4 linked regions of the Arabidopsis thaliana genome follow. The protein of the gene in region 1 interacts with the protein of each later gene in a biochemical or structural test. Each region holds a gene or a part of one and is shown in the gene's direction. Other genes may lie near its edges. The genes, in order: AT2G02780, AT1G67510, PRK1 and AT1G66830.

The links.
Region 2: the proteins of AT2G02780 (region 1) and AT1G67510 form a complex in vitro, tested with the Arabidopsis thaliana proteins (one large-scale study listed by BioGRID).
Region 3: the proteins of AT2G02780 (region 1) and PRK1 form a complex in vitro, tested with the Arabidopsis thaliana proteins (one large-scale study listed by BioGRID).
Region 4: the proteins of AT2G02780 (region 1) and AT1G66830 form a complex in vitro, tested with the Arabidopsis thaliana proteins (one large-scale study listed by BioGRID).

What each region holds. Positions count from the first base shown.
Region 1 is NC_003071.7:781,144-786,540, reverse strand, and holds AT2G02780 (Leucine-rich repeat protein kinase family protein), read left to right. Parts: upstream 1-1,618; 5' UTR 1,619-1,894; coding exon 1,895-3,155; intron 3,156-3,245; coding exon 3,246-3,367; intron 3,368-3,442; coding exon 3,443-3,689; intron 3,690-3,776; coding exon 3,777-3,970; intron 3,971-4,036; coding exon 4,037-4,074; coding exon of another isoform or gene 4,075-4,099; exon of another isoform or gene 4,100-4,153; coding exon 4,154-4,268; coding exon of another isoform or gene 4,269-4,331; exon of another isoform or gene 4,332-4,357; coding exon 4,358-4,609; 3' UTR 4,610-4,867; downstream 4,868-5,397.
Region 2 is NC_003070.9:25,296,785-25,301,978, reverse strand, and holds AT1G67510 (Leucine-rich repeat protein kinase family protein), read left to right. Parts: upstream 1-1,625; 5' UTR 1,626-1,794; coding exon 1,795-3,283; intron 3,284-3,831; coding exon 3,832-4,502; 3' UTR 4,503-4,673; downstream 4,674-5,194.
Region 3 is NC_003076.8:13,594,888-13,599,811, forward strand, and holds PRK1 (Leucine-rich repeat protein kinase family protein), read left to right. Parts: upstream 1-1,936; 5' UTR 1,937-2,030; coding exon 2,031-3,360; intron 3,361-3,430; coding exon 3,431-4,089; 3' UTR 4,090-4,382; downstream 4,383-4,924. Other genes in the region: AT5G35380 (kinase with adenine nucleotide alpha hydrolases-like domain-containing protein), read right to left, coding at 1-28, 106-376, 473-530, 614-789, 867-985, 1,072-1,148, 1,238-1,406; AT5G35400 (Pseudouridine synthase family protein), read right to left, coding at 4,529-4,714. UniProt on the Arabidopsis thaliana protein: Receptor-like kinase involved in the control of pollen germination and pollen tube polar growth.
Region 4 is NC_003070.9:24,929,348-24,934,848, reverse strand, and holds AT1G66830 (Leucine-rich repeat protein kinase family protein), read left to right. Parts: upstream 1-1,911; 5' UTR 1,912-2,014; coding exon 2,015-3,464; intron 3,465-3,541; coding exon 3,542-4,149; 3' UTR 4,150-4,426; coding exon of another isoform or gene 4,427-4,756; 3' UTR 4,757-4,951; downstream 4,952-5,501. Other genes in the region: PMI2 (PLASTID MOVEMENT IMPAIRED protein (DUF827)), read left to right, coding at 1-851; AT1G66820 (glycine-rich protein), read right to left, coding at 4,427-4,756.

The sequences.
Region 1 (5,397 bases):
TGAGCTAAAACTAAATAGAAGATTTTAAATTTTGATGATTGTCTATATATTTAGTGTAAAACAGTAAATGAAAGGCAAAAAAGCTGCAAATCAGATTCTGAATAAAAAACATGTTATGACGTCTAATCAAAGTTTTAGGATCCGAGAAGTTTACTTTTCTTGAAACACAATAATCGAAAGTTTTGTTTAATCAAAAGAAGCTCATAAATAAATTCTAGGATCCTAAATAGCTAAGTAAAAAACAAACTGAAATAGATTACAATGAATTCATACATTACATTTTTGTAGTTTGAGACCCTAGAAATACGATCTTGTTCCTCCTCTTTTGTTTATAGGCTCAGTTTTAAACCTTAATAAATTAATAATCTCGGAACCGATAAATTCTAATTAATTTATAAAGGTATTAATTTATTAATAAATCTTATAGAGAGATTTTATTAATTTTGTAATTTTTTAAAATTTCTATGTGAGAAGTAGTTTTTGTCTTTATAATCAATGTCTTTCAAAAATAAATTACAAATAAAAAACCAATTGTTAAGTTAGTAAACAAAAAACACTTTGTTCAATATAGTAAAAATATTAGAAATGAACTCTACTAAAAATTTTATACAAATTTAAGAAAAATGAACAATACTAGAGTTAAATCCCACTAATTTAATTAAATATATATATATATATATTAATAAGTGTAAAATTATTAATTTATGATATTGATGAGATCATATGTTTACGTAAGAGTTTTTAAAAACTTATTATTTTATAATTTCATTGATTTGTGTTATTTATTACATTGAAAACGTCAAGAATTTATTAATTTGTAAAAATAGTAATTTATCGAGGATTAGTTTATAAATAATTTACTGTATTAGCATTCACAAGGAATAAGCATAGTACATATATGTCCCAATGTTAAGTAAATCATTTTTTGTATAATTACTTGTCAAAAAAAAAAAAAAAAAAAAAATCATATAGAAACTAAAATATTTGGAAATATATATGGACTCAAAGGTTGTACAATTTTGGGCCTAACCGTATTATATATAATATACGGGCTAAATGTTACACGTATGAAGCCCAAAATAACCTCTCTTTTTTTTTGTCAAACTTGATTTGTAATTGAATTTTAATAAAATTAAATAATTGAATTTTAATAAAAATTAAATAATTGAATTTTAAATGCATATTTTTCGATAAAAAAAAAATGTCTGTTGCAGAAAATATTAAATGATACTTTCGCAGTGACGATTATTCCAAGGCCGTTTGCATGTGCAGATGTGCTTGATCATATAAAATCCATTCAAATTTTCTAACATTAGTAAATGAACAGTTCATCAGAATAAAAGAAACAGCTCGACATTTGGTAGAATCTCTAACCACACTTTTAAAGAAAAGACACAAACCTAATGGCTTCTCTCTCTCTCTCGAAGACAAAACACGACATAAATTTCTTAATCCTCATTACCTATCACCGACAAGTAATGAAACATCTCTATAATCTTATCTGATCAATCATATATAACCAAAAGCACTTGTTTTACTAATAAAACAAAGCAAAAATCATGTGAAATACAAGTTCTTATTGTTAATTTGTTATAGTAGTAATCAAATCAAATAAATAAACATTTCATCTTCTTGGATTCATTGCAAAACAGTCTGTCAAGTTGAGGTTGTGCAATGTGCAGTAATGAACAAACAACCAAACCAAGTTTAAGAACTTAAAGATTGCATTTATTGCCTCCACCTTAATTGGCTTTTCTACTTTCATTTACTTCTTCTTCTTCTTCTCTTGATCCAAAGTTTTCCTCTACACTACCTATAGATCTGTCTTTGTTCCTAGAAAAATGATAACTTTCAGTGAGTTTCTGTTTCTCTAAAGGCAAAACACATCTTCACTATGCAGATTTCTCTTCAAATCCATTTATCTTCCTTCACTTTTCTTCTTCTTATTTTCCTTCTTCCAGTACTCTCTGAGTCTCAGGTAGCTTCAAGTGAATCACAAACTCTTCTTGAAATCCAGAAGCAACTACAATATCCACAGGTTCTTCAATCATGGACTGATACAACCAACTTCTGTCACATTCGTCCGTCTCCTTCCTTGAGAATCATCTGCCTCCATGGTCACGTAACAGAGTTAACCGTCACCGGGAACAGAACTAGTAAGCTCTCTGGAAGTTTTCATAAACTCTTCACTCTTCTTACACAACTATCGAGCTTAAAGACTTTGTCTCTTACTTCTCTCGGAATTTCTGGTTCTCTTTCTCCTAAGATCATCACTAAGCTATCACCGTCTCTTGAGTCTCTCAATCTTAGCTCTAATTTCATCTCTGGGAAGATTCCAGAAGAGATTGTGTCTTTGAAGAATCTGAAAAGCCTTGTTTTAAGAGACAATATGTTCTGGGGTTTTGTCTCTGATGATCTCAGAGGATTATCAAATCTTCAAGAGCTGGATTTGGGAGGTAATAAACTCGGTCCTGAAGTTCCTTCACTCCCAAGTAAGCTCACCACTGTTTCATTGAAGAACAACTCCTTTAGATCCAAGATTCCAGAACAGATCAAGAAGCTGAATAACCTTCAAAGTTTAGACCTTTCTTCCAACGAATTCACCGGGTCGATTCCAGAGTTTCTGTTTTCGATTCCTTCTCTTCAAATTCTCAGTTTGGATCAGAATCTGTTAAGCGGGTCACTTCCAAATTCTTCTTGCACCTCCTCAAAGATTATAACTTTAGACGTGTCTCACAATCTTTTAACTGGAAAGCTTCCTTCTTGCTACTCTTCAAAGAGTTTCAGTAATCAGACAGTGCTTTTCTCATTCAACTGCTTGTCTTTGATTGGCACTCCTAACGCGAAGTATCAGCGTCCGCTTTCTTTCTGTCAAAACCAAGCAAGCAAGGCAATAGCTGTGGAACCTATCCCCAAGGCTAAAGATAAAGATTCTGCAAGAATCAAACTCGGGTTAGTGATTTTGATAATCATCGGTGTGATCATCCTTGCAGCAATTTTGGTTCTGTTGGTTTTGATTGCCCTCAAAAGAAGAAGATCAAGATCAGAAGATGATCCTTTTGAAGTGAACAACAGCAACAATGAGAGACATGCCTCTGATAAAGTCTCTGTTTGCAGCACCACAACTGCCAGCTCTAAGTCATTACCAGATTCAAGTAAACAATGACTTATCTTATTAATACTTGGACACTTGAAACTGAGTCTTTCTCTAGCAAAAACCATTAACAGGATCTTTCTGAGTGTAGGACGTGTACCACAGACAATGAGATCTGCAGTGATTGGTTTGCCACCGTACCGCGTTTTCTCCTTGGAGGAACTGGAAGAAGCGACTAACGACTTTGATGCAGCTAGCCTGTTCTGCGAACAGGTAAAAACAAAAACTTGACTTGAGACTCTGGCGACGAACCTAATAGATTACTTAATATATTTGGTATTCGAACAGCTGTATAGAGGTTGTCTAAGAGAAGGCATACCAGTGACAGTGCGAGTTATCAAGCTGAAGCAGAAGAGCTTGCCACAAAGCTTAGCTCAACAGATGGAAGTTTTATCAAAGCTAAGGCATATGCATTTGGTTAGCGTTCTTGGACACTCCATTGCCAGTAACCAAGACCACAATCAACACGCTGGACACACCATCTTCATTGTTCAAGAATACATCTCTAGTGGATCATTGCGGGACTTTCTCACAAGTAATAATAACCTGAAAAAGATTAGAATATATATTCAGGTTTCCATAGACTCAAATGGTTATTCATTATGGGAATTTTTGTGATCAGACTGTAGGAAGAAAGAGGTACTGAAATGGCCTCAGAGAATGGCGATAGCAATAGGAGTCGCTCGAGGGATACAGTTCTTGCATATGGGAGTAGCACCAGGAATCTTTGGGAACAATTTGAAGATAGAGAACATCATGCTTGATGAAACACTCACAGTAAAAATCAGTGGCTATACTATTCCTTTACCATCCAAGGTATAAAACTTTGTTTTATTTCTTCTTCTATTAATTGAATCTAAGAAAATTTAATGGCATTTCTAGGTTGGAGAAGAGAGGCCTCAAGCCAAAAAACCTCGGAGGTTGTTGTTGTTTCTTAAGATATGATCAAATGTGTTCTCTTCTATCAAATTTTGAAACTTGTTAATGAATAATGTGCAGTAATGAAGATAGAGAGAAAGAAGATGTGTACCAGTTTGGAGTGATACTACTACAAATCATCACAGGGAAAGTAGTTGCTGCAGGATCTTCAGAGATGGGAAGTTTGAAGCTTCAGGTCTGTTCTGTTTCAGTCAGAACCTTTTCATCTTTAAGAATCCGACACGGCTTACAAATTTAGAACCTCAATGTTATTATTTCCTGCAGCTGGAGAACGGTTTGAGAGATGAACCATCAGTATTGAGCAGCTTAGCAGATCCATCTGTTAAAGGATCATATGCTTATGAGTCGTTGAGGACGACAGTAGAGTTTGCTATCAACTGTCTTTGCGAAGATCAGAGCAAGCGTCCTTCCATAGAAGACGTTGTGTGGAATCTACAGTATACAATTCAAGTGCAGCAAGGATGGAGACCAAGCAGTGGGAATCATGAATCATCCATGAAAGCAATATATGAATGAAATGATCATAAAGAGAGGCAAAAACTGTAGAAACAATAATAAGTTTCAAACAAGTCAAGATGTAGTTTCATGGACTACCTGAAATATCTTTTATTAGCTAACTTAGTAATCTGTGAATAAAAAGCAAAAGGAGTTGAAAAACACACAAAGACATGTAAGAGAGTGTGTCCAGCTTTGCTCGACAACATTGCAGACTCTTCTGTTGTATTCGCGCTTGCTTTCGCTGAACATTCGTGCATCTCTTAAAACAAATCAGCAGTCTACAATCTTGCTAACCTGCTTGATGAAGACATCAAAATCTTCAAAAACCTTCACAGGTTCTTTATAACAAGAATCTCTGTGCCTGGAATACTATAGAAAATCCCAAAAGTTACTGCAAACCTCTCACTATGCTCACGTCTAACCTCTCCATCTCAACCACACTCCGTGTTTCGGGCAATCTCCAATACAGAAGTCTCTACCTCATCCAGCATTCTATAAACTTCCTTTGTTATGACTTGTATCGCTAGCTAAAAACAAGTGCTTGTGTTCCACATAACTATAATAACCATAGCTATACCCAGGTTAGGTAAGATGTCGAAAACAGCAAGTGGCTTTGCCAAGTTACCTCACCTAGCATACATACTACTGATCAATGCATTTTCGCTCACAAAACAAATTTTGTTACAATACCATTGGCTTTTACTAGCTTCTTACTTCTTGACCAATCTCTTGAGCCTCCAAGATAGATAGGCACAAGAAGACAGGATCATGACAAACGCTCGATGATCACAAACACATACACACCA
Region 2 (5,194 bases), on another chromosome or scaffold:
TGGGTGTGACGGCTAAATGATGTAAGAACAATGAAAAATAAAAAAAAGAGCAAAGTAGAAGGGAAAAAGCAAAATTCGGGAGAATATTTTTCCACCAGTATTTGTATTGGAAATTTTTTGTTGGTAATACAAAACTTTAAAGAGCTGCTGAAGTTGAGTAATCTTTACGATGTTCATTTTCAATCTTGAGACTATATCTATATGTGTTAAGATTGTATGGTAGAACGTGATATAATATCTGTATGGTAACACGTGAGAGTAGTTTGTTGGTCCATTCTACAAATCGAACTACCACATGACAGAAACATGTATGATGTAGATGTACTGTATATTTTAACAGTTGCGGACAACATTGGTCGGAAAAAAAAAACTCATACCAAATTGGTAAGTAGTGATATTAATTTTGGTTCAATTTCTTGATCATGTGAATAATAGAATTAAAATTTAGCCAAGCCAGCCAAAACCAAAAGAATCCGTAAGCATAGCAAATATAAAGCCACTTTCGAAACTAGCAACAATGACGGTGAAATAATTTTATCCTAGTTTAGTAGACTAGACAGTAGAAACATGATGTGATAAATAAAATGATTTAATCTCATTTCTCATACTTCACTTAAATAAGATATTATCTTATAGATTTCATGCTTTAGTTAGCTTCTAAGCGTGTTTTAATGATTATAGGGGGACATAACGACATTAACAACACACCTCAAATAGTATAGTTTAAATGTACATTTACAGAAAATTCATTTTAAACTGATTCTAAAATGTAAATTTACAGAAAAATTAATTTAAACTAAATTGATAACCCTTTTATGAAAAATATTCTAAGATGTTAGTCGCAAAATTGAAATAATAAGAAAAAGATTTATAATAAGAAAAAGATTTATAAAACTCAATTTTAAACACAATTATTGGAAAAAACTTCTATACAGAGACTTTGAGAGACCAGCGAGCACGTGTCAAAGGCATGGCATTTACTTCGACGGCTAAGTGAGGGACAGGGACCCTGACCGTAACAGTTCCCAAGGAGTTACAATGTTCCGTACCTCCTTCATTTGCTAATCCCTAACACTTACGTGAGTAGTGTTAGTTATTTACCCTAATCAACATTTGGATTAGGCTAATCCATGTTTGTGAGGACCACTATGATATTTTTCTCTCTTTTTTTGTTTCTTTATCATTATGATATCATTATAATGAAAAAAAAAAAATGGCGAAAAAAAAATATCATTATGATAAATAAATATATAATTGGCAATCAATTACACATGCCACCATACTTTTACCTTTGTTCACAAAGTCTCAAAATTACAGTACTCACAGTCAGTCAAAATTATAGTACTCATCAATATAAACATTACTAATTTAGATAATTTTATGTTAATAGTGGATCTAATTTATGAACCCCCAAACAGTAAAACTTTTTTTTCTAAAACATTACAATAAAAATGATATTTGTAATACCGCTATATATTTTACGATTAGTCACAATCAAAACGGTATCAATCGACAAAATTACTGATGACCAATAGAAATTTTGGCAAACATTATTACAAAAATGTGTTATGTCAAACTAAATTAAATGAAAACAAAAAATTTGTAATTGAATTATTAAATACGTTGCCATAAATTGATGTTTTGCCCTTAATTAATTGATTACAGTATGATTAAAAAGGTATAACTAACATAAATAAATACCCTTCAAGAACCAACCAATCTCTCATTCTTTCGTCACCCACCTTCTTCACTCTCTGTTATTTTCACAAACCAGAAAAATTCAAGTACAGAGAAATGATCCTTCTCTCACTTCTTCTCCATCTTCTTCTTCATCTCCTCAACACTTCTCCTTCTCTTTCTCTTTCCCCCGACGGTATCGCTTTACTCTCACTCAAATCCGCCGTCGATCACTCCTCCTCCTCCGCTTTCTCCGATTGGAACGATAACGACACCGATCCTTGTCATTGGTCCGGAATCTCCTGTATGAACATCTCAGACTCTTCTACCTCTCGCGTCGTTGGAATTTCCCTCGCCGGAAAACATCTCCGTGGCTACATCCCCTCAGAGCTTGGCTCACTTATTTACCTCCGTCGTCTTAACCTCCACAACAACGAACTTTACGGTTCAATTCCTACTCAATTATTCAACGCGACGTCGCTTCATAGTATCTTCTTATACGGTAACAATCTCTCCGGTACTCTTCCTCCTTCGATCTGTAAACTCCCAAAGCTTCAGAATCTCGATTTGTCTATGAATTCGCTCTCTGGAACTCTTTCACCGGATCTCAACAAGTGTAAACAGCTTCAACGGTTGATCCTCTCCGCTAACAACTTTTCCGGTGAGATTCCTGGTGATATCTGGCCGGAATTGACTAATTTAGCTCAGCTTGATCTCTCTGCTAACGAATTTTCCGGCGAAATCCCTAAGGATATCGGAGAGCTTAAGTCTCTCTCTGGTACTTTGAATCTCTCCTTTAACCATTTATCCGGCCAAATCCCTAATTCCTTAGGAAATCTACCGGTGACAGTCTCTCTTGATCTCCGGAACAACGATTTCTCCGGCGAGATTCCTCAATCTGGTTCGTTCTCTAACCAGGGGCCAACCGCATTTCTCAATAATCCGAAACTGTGTGGTTTCCCTCTCCAGAAAACTTGTAAAGACACTGATGAGAACTCTCCGGGGACTCGAAAGTCGCCCGAGAATAATGCGGATTCTAGAAGAGGGTTAAGTACTGGATTAATAGTGTTGATCTCGGTGGCAGATGCAGCAAGTGTAGCTTTTATTGGTTTAGTGTTAGTTTACTTGTACTGGAAGAAAAAAGACTCTGAGGGAGGGTGTAGCTGCACAGGGAATGCGAAACTCGGTGGTGGTTCGGTGAAGGGGAAATCGTGTTGTTGTATCACGGGGTTTCCGAAAGAGGATGATTCGGAAGCGGAAGGTAATGAGAGAGGAGAAGGGAAAGGAGATGGAGAGCTTGTAGCGATTGATAAAGGGTTTTCTTTTGAGCTTGATGAGTTGTTGAGAGCTTCTGCATATGTTTTGGGGAAGAGTGGGTTAGGGATAGTGTATAAAGTGGTGTTAGGGAATGGAGTTCCGGTGGCGGTGCGGCGACTTGGGGAAGGAGGGGAACAGAGGTATAAAGAGTTTGTTACGGAGGTTCAAGCTATGGGGAAAGTGAAACATCCTAATGTGGTGAAGTTAAGAGCTTATTATTGGGCTCCTGATGAGAAGCTTTTGATTAGTGACTTCGTTAACAATGGAAGTTTAGCTGATGCTCTTAGAGGTATTACATTACTTCTTCCTTCTTCTTTTTCTGCTTATCGAATTAGTCTACTAACTAAAGTTTGAGATCCGGTTCTGTTCTATTGACTTAAGAAATTTATGTTGACTTTGACTTTGTCAACGCTAGATTAGACATTACTACCTTAGTGAGAGATGAGATTAGATCTGAGAGATAGTTTGTGGGATTGTCAAAGCAAGAGTGGACCAAGATTTCTTTCTCTTTTTAGGCATATTTTGGTATTTTAATTTAGAATTTAGTCAAGTTACATGTAAAAGAGACATGTCTTGTAAGAGAATTCGACATGTCCGAATAATAAATATCTTTTTTAAGTATTAGTATATGATTTAAGTGTGGTAGAGTCTTAGAGTAGAAGTAATTAGTAAAAATAGCAGAATGAGGAAACAATGATGAGAGAAGTTTACTTGTGGGCTAAGAGTAATGATTTTATACACCCACTCTGTTGAGCCTCTAGCTGTCCCGTCTTTTTCTCATCGTAACTCATTACTTACTTTAATATTGGATACTTGTTTGTTTTGGTGTGTGAATAGGGAGGAATGGTCAACCATCACCGAGCTTAACATGGTCAACGCGTATAAAGATCGCAAAAGGAGCTGCGCGTGGGTTAGCTTATCTACACGAGTGTAGTCCAAGGAAGTTGGTACATGGCGACGTTAAGCCTTCCAACATTCTTCTTGATTCCTCCTTCACTCCTTACATCTCTGACTTCGGTCTCACACGTCTCATCACCATCACTGCCGCTTCTGCCTCTTCTAACGAACCTTCCTCCTCCTCTGCTGCGGGTGGTTTCTTAGGTGGAGCTCTTCCTTACACTTCCATCAAACCCTCAGATAGATCCAACGGCTATAAAGCCCCCGAGGCCCGGCTCCCTGGAGGGAGGCCTACTCAGAAATGGGACGTATACTCCTTCGGTGTTGTGCTTATGGAGCTTCTCACCGGGAAATCGCCGGATTCTTCTCCGTTAAGCTCTTCCTCGACGTCTACGGTGGTTGTTGAGGTGCCGGATTTGGTGAAGTGGGTGAGGAAAGGGTTTGAAGAGGAGACTCCATTGTCGGACATGGTTGATCCAATGTTACTTCAAGAAGTTCACGCCAAGCAACAAGTCTTGTCCGTTTTTCATCTAGCTCTCGCTTGTACCGAAGGTGACCCTGAAGTCCGTCCACGTATGAAGAACGTCTCTGAGAACATCGACAAAATCTGATTCAATTATTATATTCTTTTTTCTTTAATTTTTCCTATTATATTTTTGTATCTCCGATAGTTCTTACACGAGGTCGTTACGTCACTCCCACGTCTGGGACTAGTGGTCGATTTGTTTTTATTGAATAATTATTTGTTATGAAAATTGAATCAAATGAGTTATACTTTAGGCTTTAAATGGCTTTGTCTTTTATTTTGCTGTCTTTTTCTCATCTGTTAAAAGACAACTCCTAGTTAACGGGCACTTGTCTTGTCCTTCAGTTGAAGATACACATACAAGATCTAATATCTTCCAAGAACCATCCATTTGAAATTTCGCTTTTCATAGAGTTTATGCAAATGTGGATTTGGGTTTTTAGATTTAAACGGGTCACAGAATATTTAACTTGGGGTAAATTTTCAAAAAAGCATAATGGATAATTAAAATTTAGATTGGCCCATTATATTTATCAGGCCCACTAATTAAATGTTTGTTGCTTTTCTGCTTTTTGACATTTTACACCGGCAACCTTTGTCGGAGAACGGTTAAGTAGCTGGGATAACTCAGGCGGCGTCGCGGTTAGGTAGAGTAGAAGAAACTACAAGCAAGAGAGAGCGATTCACTGAAGGTAACCACGTCTTAAACAAAATGAACCGAACTATAACCGTTTGGTTAGAAGATTTAAAACGGAATGATCCGGTTTGATTTTTTGG
Region 3 (4,924 bases), on another chromosome or scaffold:
GCCTTCTCATCTCGGTTTCAAGCTCATCCTGTCAGATTTTAGAATTAAACAAATGAAAAAAACATTTCTCATGTGCACATATCTGGTCTTAGAGTAGTAAAATACTTGGCCCTGTAGTGAAAATGATTGTCTCCCACTTTCAAATGAGGTTGAAGAGTTTGGTGCATATGGTGAGCCAAGATCTATGGACTGCTTTGAGTATGTTGTAGCAAAACTCAATCGATTTTCTCCATACTCAGAGGTGACTGAGAGCCGTGGAACATCCACATCGTCATACAAGGAAGGAAACATCTGATCCACACTCGGTCTTCCACTACTCACAAATGATATATCAGAGTCTGTTATTGAGGGCTGGTAAACGCCTTCGTATCCTCTTCTCGAAAAGGGAGACCTACTCAACATGTGTGTTTACCATAAGTAAAATGTAACTTATGGAAAAAAATAAAACAACTTATGTAGGTAAGAAACATACTTGATCTCTATCTTGATCTCATCATGTGTTCTTTGCATTGTTTGTTGCCTCCTTTCAACTGCAACATGAAAGACATTTGATCAGTTAGGAAAAGCTATTTTAGCTTATATGATGTCCTTGAAAAAACTTGGTCATATATACCATTCATATTGCTCGTCTGAGCGTGTGAATGATGTCGCATAGATGGCATATTGGAATGGGGAGGTGAACTTGTAGCTGATCTCAGAAACGAGATTTTCCCTTTAGAGATAACATATACTGTACAGAAACTCGGTGCCTTTTTCATGACAGTGCTTGAAACATCCGCTGCTTTGAACCTTCTATCAAATAAAACATATATATAAGGATGCTCAGATTTAGTCTTAAGTAAGGAGAAAAGCGTTTGCCTAATCACCTTAAAAGAGTCATCTTCGAAGAACCGAGTATTAAAGTCTCGATTGCATTCTGTTGCACGTAGTCAACTATTCCTTTAGCCGCACTAACGTCCTCCACAACCACATCTTGGCAGTTGATCTGCCACAGTAACAAGATAATGTCAGTCAAATGAAATGAAATGCTTGACAAGATAAAAAAAGTGAAGCGAAAAGCCGAAAACGCACATCTTTTCTAGCACAGTAGCAACGAAAAGGAAGAAACAATTCTGACGGATCATCGCCTGGCTTACTAAAGTTTGATCCTGCATTGAATCAACCTTATGTTAATATGAATATTAAGCCTCAAACAAAGAAGTTAACTAATGTTAAAATATAGGCTTTGTCGTCATACCAGAATAGGGAAGAGAGGAGGGTTGTTTGAGTTTAACATGAAGAAGAGTAAGAGTCTGTCCTCGGCTAAGAAGATTGCTAACCGCCCATTTCAACGCGTTTTGGCTCTCTTTGTCTCTGTCAATGGCAAGAGTAATATTTTCTTCTCTTTTCTCGGAGGTTCTCACCATTTTCACTACTTTCTTCTCTCGGTTTCGGTTTCGTTCTGCAACAAACAAATATTCAATGAGTTTATATATAAATGAAACAGATTTTGAGAAACGCGTTTGACTAAGCTAATATTAGCAAATGCATCCCAACAAAAACCTTTTTGACTCTCTTTCTTATTGTCTCCTTATAGATGTAACTGACTTCATAAACATCCAGACTTTTCAATTTTCTTTTGTTGGTATAGTTATCTAATAGTTGTGTAAGTCAAAACAAAAATGGTAGCTTCCTCTGCTTTTGACCAGATAAGAACGAATATATCTGAAACTTGTTGTTTAGTTCAACAGAAGTACCAAGTTTGGGTTTAGGGTTTACCAATATAGATAATGGGGTTGTTGAATTGATGAGATAGAAAATAAAACAGAGAATTGTGTATTGGTGCTGTCTGATGTAATCTTAAAGGACATTACAGGTCAGCAATTAGAGATTTAAGTTTCACCACAAACCTATTATTGGAATGCTTTTGATGCAAAGCCTTCTCTTTACCATTCATCTTTCTTTTCTTTTTTCTCTGTTGTGTCAATCCAACTGTAGCTGTAAACATCACATTGTCCCTTTCTCAAAGGTTTCTCAAGAGGACGCGCCTCATGCCTCCCATGCAGGCGCGTACCCTCAGCGTATACAACGTCATGGTACCACTAGTATGTCTCCTCCTTTTCTTCTCCACACCCACTCATGGTCTTTCAGATTCTGAGGCTATCCTCAAGTTCAAGGAATCTTTAGTTGTTGGGCAGGAAAACGCGTTGGCCTCATGGAATGCTAAAAGTCCTCCTTGCACTTGGTCTGGTGTCTTGTGCAATGGCGGCTCCGTCTGGAGACTGCAGATGGAGAACTTGGAGCTTTCTGGTTCTATAGACATCGAGGCATTGTCGGGTTTGACATCCTTGAGGACTCTAAGCTTCATGAACAACAAGTTTGAAGGGCCATTCCCTGACTTCAAGAAACTCGCTGCTCTCAAGTCACTCTACCTGTCAAACAATCAATTCGGAGGAGATATACCAGGGGATGCTTTTGAAGGTATGGGGTGGTTGAAGAAGGTCCATTTGGCACAAAACAAGTTTACCGGTCAAATTCCGTCATCTGTGGCCAAATTGCCCAAGCTTTTAGAACTGAGACTTGACGGGAACCAATTCACTGGAGAGATACCAGAGTTTGAACATCAGCTACACTTGTTAAACCTTTCAAACAATGCATTAACAGGTCCAATACCAGAGAGTCTCAGCATGACAGATCCAAAGGTGTTTGAAGGTAACAAAGGCTTATATGGAAAACCGCTGGAAACAGAATGTGATTCTCCTTATATAGAACATCCTCCACAGTCTGAGGCACGACCCAAATCATCATCAAGGGGACCTCTCGTTATAACAGCAATAGTCGCGGCCTTGACAATACTCATAATCCTTGGAGTGATCTTCTTGCTTAACCGCAGCTATAAGAATAAAAAACCGCGTTTGGCGGTGGAAACCGGACCATCAAGTCTACAGAAGAAAACCGGCATCCGAGAAGCAGACCAAAGTCGTAGAGACAGAAAGAAAGCCGACCACCGGAAAGGCTCAGGCACTACTAAGAGGATGGGTGCAGCAGCTGGAGTGGAGAACACAAAGCTTTCATTCTTGAGGGAAGATAGGGAAAAATTTGACCTGCAAGATCTGTTGAAGGCTTCGGCCGAGATACTTGGAAGTGGATGTTTTGGAGCATCTTATAAAGCAGTGCTATCAAGCGGACAAATGATGGTCGTGAAGAGGTTCAAGCAGATGAACAATGCAGGGAGGGATGAGTTTCAAGAGCACATGAAAAGATTAGGGAGGTTAATGCACCATAATCTGCTTTCCATTGTGGCTTATTACTATAGGAAGGAGGAAAAGCTTTTAGTATGTGATTTTGCTGAGAGAGGAAGCTTGGCTATTAATCTTCATAGTAAGTTTTCGATATTTCTACACTTATAAGTCGTTAGATTTATCGATGCTTACGAGTCAAATGTTTGTAGGTAATCAATCGTTAGGAAAACCAAGTTTGGACTGGCCAACAAGATTGAAGATCGTGAAGGGAGTTGCAAAGGGGTTGTTCTATCTCCACCAAGACCTACCTAGCCTAATGGCTCCACATGGTCACCTCAAATCCTCCAACGTTCTTCTCACCAAAACATTTGAACCACTTCTCACAGACTATGGATTAATTCCGTTGATCAACCAAGAGAAGGCACAAATGCACATGGCGGCCTATAGATCTCCAGAGTATTTGCAACATCGACGTATCACCAAGAAAACCGATGTATGGGGGCTTGGCATACTTATCTTGGAGATCCTAACGGGAAAATTCCCGGCTAATTTCTCACAAAGTAGTGAAGAGGATTTAGCGAGTTGGGTGAACTCGGGTTTCCATGGGGTATGGGCACCAAGTTTGTTTGATAAGGGTATGGGGAAGACAAGCCATTGTGAAGGACAGATTCTCAAACTCTTGACGATCGGATTGAACTGTTGTGAACCCGACGTGGAGAAAAGGTTGGACATAGGACAGGCTGTGGAGAAGATCGAAGAGTTGAAGGAGCGAGAAGGGGATGATGACGACTTCTACTCAACGTATGTGAGTGAAACTGATGGTAGGTCGTCTAAAGGAGAGTCATGCGAGAGTATCAGCTTTGCATGAGAAAGAGACAAGGGTTTGATCTTGTGCTGTATACAACAATGAGACTTGATGGATGTGTAGACATTTTTACTAAGGGAATTGAAGTAGATGAAAGCTGAACCTGTGTTATAGCATATAATGTATCTGCAACAAACATGACACACAAATGCATGAATACCGCTGATTATTGTACTTCTCTCTTCCATCTTTCTGTAGATCATGACATGATTTCTTCACATAGTTACCATATATGGCATGTAAATAGATCTTGCAATAGACCCATTAAATAAAAATCATTGTCAATGACTCAAGGCTTTGGGCAAATATAACTATACCCTTACTATTAATCATGAGATATTAATAAAATAAGTCTTGCTTGCTTTAACGACAAGCGGACTAAACATACTAAATCATGCAGATTTCATCCAATATATGATTAAGTAAATGTAACATGCCATTCTCAGGAAATGAGAGAAGTTTGAGGGTCAAAGTCAGTATAACCAACGTCGAATAGACAGAGACCTTCAGATGGAGCTGGAGGAGCTGTGGCTCGTCTGCATGAAGCTTCTAGCAGTTTTAACAATGCATCATCTTCCGCACCAGCGGCAGCTTCTCGGATTGATGTTGCCACAAGAACTCGAACCATCTGAAAGTTACATAGACATGTATAAACGTATAAGTAGATTATTAGGCAATGTAAAACAAGACGAGCAGATACAGATTTGAGAGTCAAATATGACTCTGCCTCTTTAGGGATGAGATCGGGGATGCTGTTGTACAACTTCCCATACATGTGTCTTTAATACAGTGTAGTTCTTTACTTTTTTAGAGTTTAAAGTAAACCTTTTTTACATAG
Region 4 (5,501 bases), on another chromosome or scaffold:
AGGATGATGTAATGCTTGAGAGACTCAATACGAAGCTGCTTATTGCGAAAGATCAATTAGAAGCAGTATCTAAAGCTGAAGAAAGAATCAGCTATCTTGCTGACAATTTAACTACTTCGTTTGAGAAACTAAAGAGTGATAGAGAAGCTGCAAAGAAAGAGGAGCTTAAGCTTAGAGAAGAAGCAAGGATCATCAACAATGAGATACAGAAAACCGAAACAGGATTTGATGGAAAGGAAAAAGAGTTGCTTTCCAAGTTAGATGAGCTTGAGAAAGCGAAGCACGCAGAGAGTTTAGCTCTAGAGAAGCTTGAAACAATGGTAGAGAAAACAATGGAAACTCGAGAAATGGAATCTCGGCGTAATTCAACTATTACAATATCGAGATTTGAGTACGAGTATTTGAGTGGAAAAGCTTGTCATGCTGAAGAAACTGCAGAGAAGAAAGTGGAAGCAGCAATGGCGTGGGTCGAAGCACTAAAGGCTAGCACTAAGGCGATTATGATAAAGACAGAATCTTTAAAGAGAGTGAGTGGGAAAACAATGTTGGAAGAAGAGAGGGAATCGTTTAGGATGCAGAGGTCGCTATCGATAAAGAGATTGGTCCAAGATGAGATTCAGAAGTTCAAGGGAAATTCAGAAGACAATGGCTTGATCAACTCTCCTAAACCGGTGAGAAAATCGGTTAGGCTGAGCGGGAAATTTGCACCGGTTCAGGGAGGGAAGTCGAGAAGGTACTCATCAGGGAACCGAGCGACTCCAACATTCTTTGTAATCAAGAAGAAGAAGAAAGTTCCAAACATGGTCAAATTTTTTAGCCGGAAGAGGCGTAATTCTTCTTTAGAACAATGAGAAGTTTAGTTATCTTGTTGAAGTGAGTGTAAGTTTTTTTATTGCTTGCGTGTTAAGTTTCACATTGTTTTTAGCTTGTAAGTGATTTATTTGTTTTGTATTTTTGTTATTTTTTGATAATAAAAAAATGATGTATTTATGTAGACTTTAGGTGTATATTAATGAAAATAATGTATTGCATTGTATAAGAGTCAGGTAAATTTTTTCATATTTGATTTTGGTAATTTGAATGGTTTATATCGAACTAGAACCAACAAATTTCATACATGACCAGCCGTTGATAAAAGAAATTTTGGCATAAACTATATTATAGACACACAAATCAAAGTAAATTAAAGTAAAAACGAATTTAATTGTAAAGAATGAATCATATTCATATTTTAAAAAAAACAAAATTATGTACTTGTATCTTTTTTTTCTGGTCAACTAGAAATACATAAAAGATTACCGGCTAAGCTAATTTGTACCACAAACGTCTACAAAATTTTTTATAAATTTATGTTTTATATTTTAAATTAAATGCTCCTCGAAATAATATTTTGCTAATGTTAAAACCAAATTAACTTATAAAATTATGCAACAATCATAGTAGAAATGTTTGGCCATGACTCATAAAATTCACACAAGTAATATTATTGTTTTCATATATTTTTCCGACAAATGTTAACTCTTTTCCCCCAAACTAGTTATATTTGTCTCAGACTCCAAAACAGAAACAAACAATCTAGAAGTAAACTAGAGTACAAATCAAATCGAAACGAAAAACTTAAATTGACCGGCACAACAATAATTCTGGTGGAGATTTGACTTTAGGATTTGGAAGTAAAATTGTCAATACATTACCCCACCACTAACTAAACAACTAGAAACTAGAAAAGCTATTCCTCATTACCTTACGTGTCCCCTACTGTTTCAATTATAGCCTCAATCATCGCTAATTCCATTGACATGTAAATGAGGTATATACAATTTGTTTGATGCATGAATTTAGATATAAGTTTCTTCAAACATATAAATATCTTCAAAAAATTTAGAATTGATAAGAAGTTAAAACTGTTGACTTGATTGAAAACTAGGCCAGTCCAAGCTATATAAACACTAATTTCTTGGAGATATTTAGGAGCCAAACTTTACTCAATTCAGAATTGTGTCTCTCTTTAGAGATGTCTCAGTTATTTCTCATTCTCTGCTTCATTCTAACTCATTTCTTTGCCATAGCCACTTCTCTAAACGATCAAGGTCTTGCTCTTCTTTCCTTTAAACAATCCATACAAAACCAGAGTGACTCTGTTTTTACCAATTGGAACTCTTCAGATTCAAACCCTTGTTCTTGGCAAGGTGTTACATGTAATTATGATATGAGAGTTGTCTCGATTCGTCTTCCTAATAAACGTCTTTCGGGTTCTCTTGATCCATCCATTGGAAGTCTCTTGTCCCTTCGTCACATTAACCTAAGAGACAATGACTTTCAAGGGAAGTTACCTGTGGAACTCTTTGGACTTAAAGGGCTTCAAAGCTTGGTGCTTTCTGGAAATTCTTTTTCCGGGTTTGTCCCAGAAGAGATTGGTAGCTTGAAGAGTCTAATGACTCTGGATCTTTCGGAGAATTCTTTCAACGGTTCGATTTCTTTGTCGCTTATTCCATGCAAGAAGCTGAAAACGCTTGTTCTTAGCAAGAACAGTTTCTCTGGAGATCTTCCAACAGGGTTAGGTTCTAACTTGGTTCATCTTCGGACACTGAATCTTTCTTTCAATCGCTTGACTGGAACGATCCCCGAAGATGTAGGAAGTCTGGAGAATCTGAAAGGTACACTTGATCTTTCTCATAACTTCTTCTCAGGTATGATTCCAACAAGTCTTGGAAATCTCCCTGAGCTTCTCTATGTCGATCTTTCTTACAATAATCTCAGTGGTCCGATACCAAAATTCAACGTTCTGTTGAATGCCGGTCCAAATGCTTTCCAAGGGAACCCTTTCCTCTGTGGATTACCGATAAAGATTTCTTGCAGCACAAGAAACACACAAGTAGTTCCTTCTCAACTATATACAAGAAGAGCCAACCATCATTCTAGACTCTGCATCATCCTTACAGCCACTGGAGGCACAGTCGCCGGAATCATTTTTCTTGCTTCATTATTCATCTACTATCTCCGAAAAGCATCGGCTCGTGCAAACAAAGATCAAAACAACCGAACATGTCATATAAACGAGAAACTGAAGAAGACGACAAAGCCAGAGTTTCTCTGTTTCAAGACTGGGAATTCAGAATCTGAAACGCTAGATGAGAACAAAAATCAACAAGTTTTCATGCCAATGGACCCGGAAATCGAATTTGACCTCGACCAGCTTCTAAAAGCCTCGGCTTTTCTTCTAGGGAAGAGCAGGATCGGGCTTGTGTACAAGGTAGTTCTTGAAAATGGATTAATGTTAGCCGTTAGACGATTAGAAGATAAAGGTTGGCTACGGCTCAAAGAGTTTCTAGCTGATGTCGAAGCAATGGCGAAAATCAAGCACCCTAATGTCTTGAATCTCAAGGCTTGTTGCTGGTCTCCTGAAGAGAAACTCCTGATTTATGATTACATACCAAATGGTGACCTTGGTTCTGCAATTCAAGGTAATTTTAGTGTCAAAATCGCATAAATCTATGACCATAGTTAAGATTCAAGACTGATTCATAAAAATTTATGACAGGTAGACCTGGTAGCGTGTCATGCAAGCAACTAACCTGGACGGTCCGGTTAAAAATATTGAGAGGAATAGCAAAAGGATTAACTTATATTCATGAGTTTAGTCCCAAAAGGTATGTCCATGGACATATAAACACAAGCAACATACTTCTAGGACCGAATCTTGAACCGAAAGTATCCGGTTTCGGTCTAGGTCGTATCGTCGACACGTCTTCAGATATCAGATCAGACCAAATCTCTCCCATGGAGACAAGCTCACCAATCCTCTCTAGAGAATCATATTACCAAGCTCCTGAAGCAGCTTCAAAAATGACTAAACCGTCTCAGAAATGGGATGTGTATTCATTCGGTTTAGTGATACTCGAAATGGTAACCGGAAAATCTCCGGTTAGTTCAGAAATGGATTTGGTTATGTGGGTTGAATCGGCTAGTGAGAGAAATAAACCGGCTTGGTATGTTCTTGATCCGGTTTTAGCTCGTGATAGAGATTTGGAAGATAGTATGGTTCAAGTCATCAAGATCGGTTTAGCTTGTGTGCAGAAGAACCCAGATAAAAGACCACACATGAGAAGTGTATTGGAGAGCTTCGAGAAATTGGTAACTTCTATTTAATTATTATTAATTAATGAAAAGTAATAATTTTAATTAGATTATGTGTTTACTTCATAATTTTCAGATTACTTCATAAATTTCATGTGATAATTTTTATGGTTTTTCTGTTAATCATTCATAATTGTGATATTATTATGAAAAATAAAAGGACACAAGGGAGGATATTTTTATTGAACTTATATAATTAACAAAACTGTTAATACAGTACAAAATTAACATAATGCTTTAAAAATCTTTTACCCAAACCCGACCCGGAATTATGAACCGGAGCTTTTTTTCATAGGTCAAATCTCTCTTTGATGTCATCGAAACTGTACCCGCCGCCAACTCCAAATCCGTATCCAAACCCGAACCCGATACCACAACCAATACCGAATCCAAGAACCACGTTAGAATGGTCAAGTCCTTCAGAGGCACCTATTCCGAGCCCGCCGGAGAGACCAATGCCGATTCCAGCGCCGCAGCCAATGCCGCCGCCGATTCCGGGACCGACGGTTGTTGTCTTGATGTTATCGATTTGTGTACGGAGGAATCTGGTAACCGGAAATTCTGATTTCCCGGTTTTGACGTCTGGTTTACGGCTCCAGAGTTTATTAGTTGATCCCATTGGTTTTGTGATTGGGCAAATGACGATCACTGAATTGTGAATTTATGAGTGATGAGAAAATCAGATAAGATTTGAGAAAAAAGATGAATATGCGTTGAGGTATTTATTGGGCTTATTGTCGCATATATTGGGCTTTAACCCATTTAAGTCTCTACAGATTCTCTCCTATTTATCAGTTTTTTTTAATGATAAAAGATACACATGAGATACAAATTCTTCAAGAAAATGTTAAATACAGATTTGGATTAAGTTATATGATATTTTGTTTTTAAAATGTCGTAGAAAGGGTAAGAAGGTAATTTGGGCAGGGTTGTTGGGTTAGAAGGAAGGAAACATTTTCTAGTTAGTTAGCTACAACGAAAGATTTTGATTGAAGTATATTACACATAGGAAAGAAAGAGGGACCATAGTTAGTTAAAGTTGTGCTCTTTAAGCAAACAAAACTCACATATATTCCTTACCTTACTACGGTCGTTAACAACATGAAACTAAACATACATGCATATATCAAAAAACCAATTTAATCATCAATTCATTAACTATTCTTATTCATGATTGGCCCAACCAAACTTAATAAAATGACCTATTCTTCTTTATTTTTGTTTCTTCAAACACACCAATACATACTTCCTTATTCTCCAAGTTACAAACAAAACCTCCCCTCCTAACAAACTTTTTGTTTCCATCTATTTTTTTTTTCAAAATAGATTTTTGCTTGAGGTTCATATTTATATACTTGCTTAAT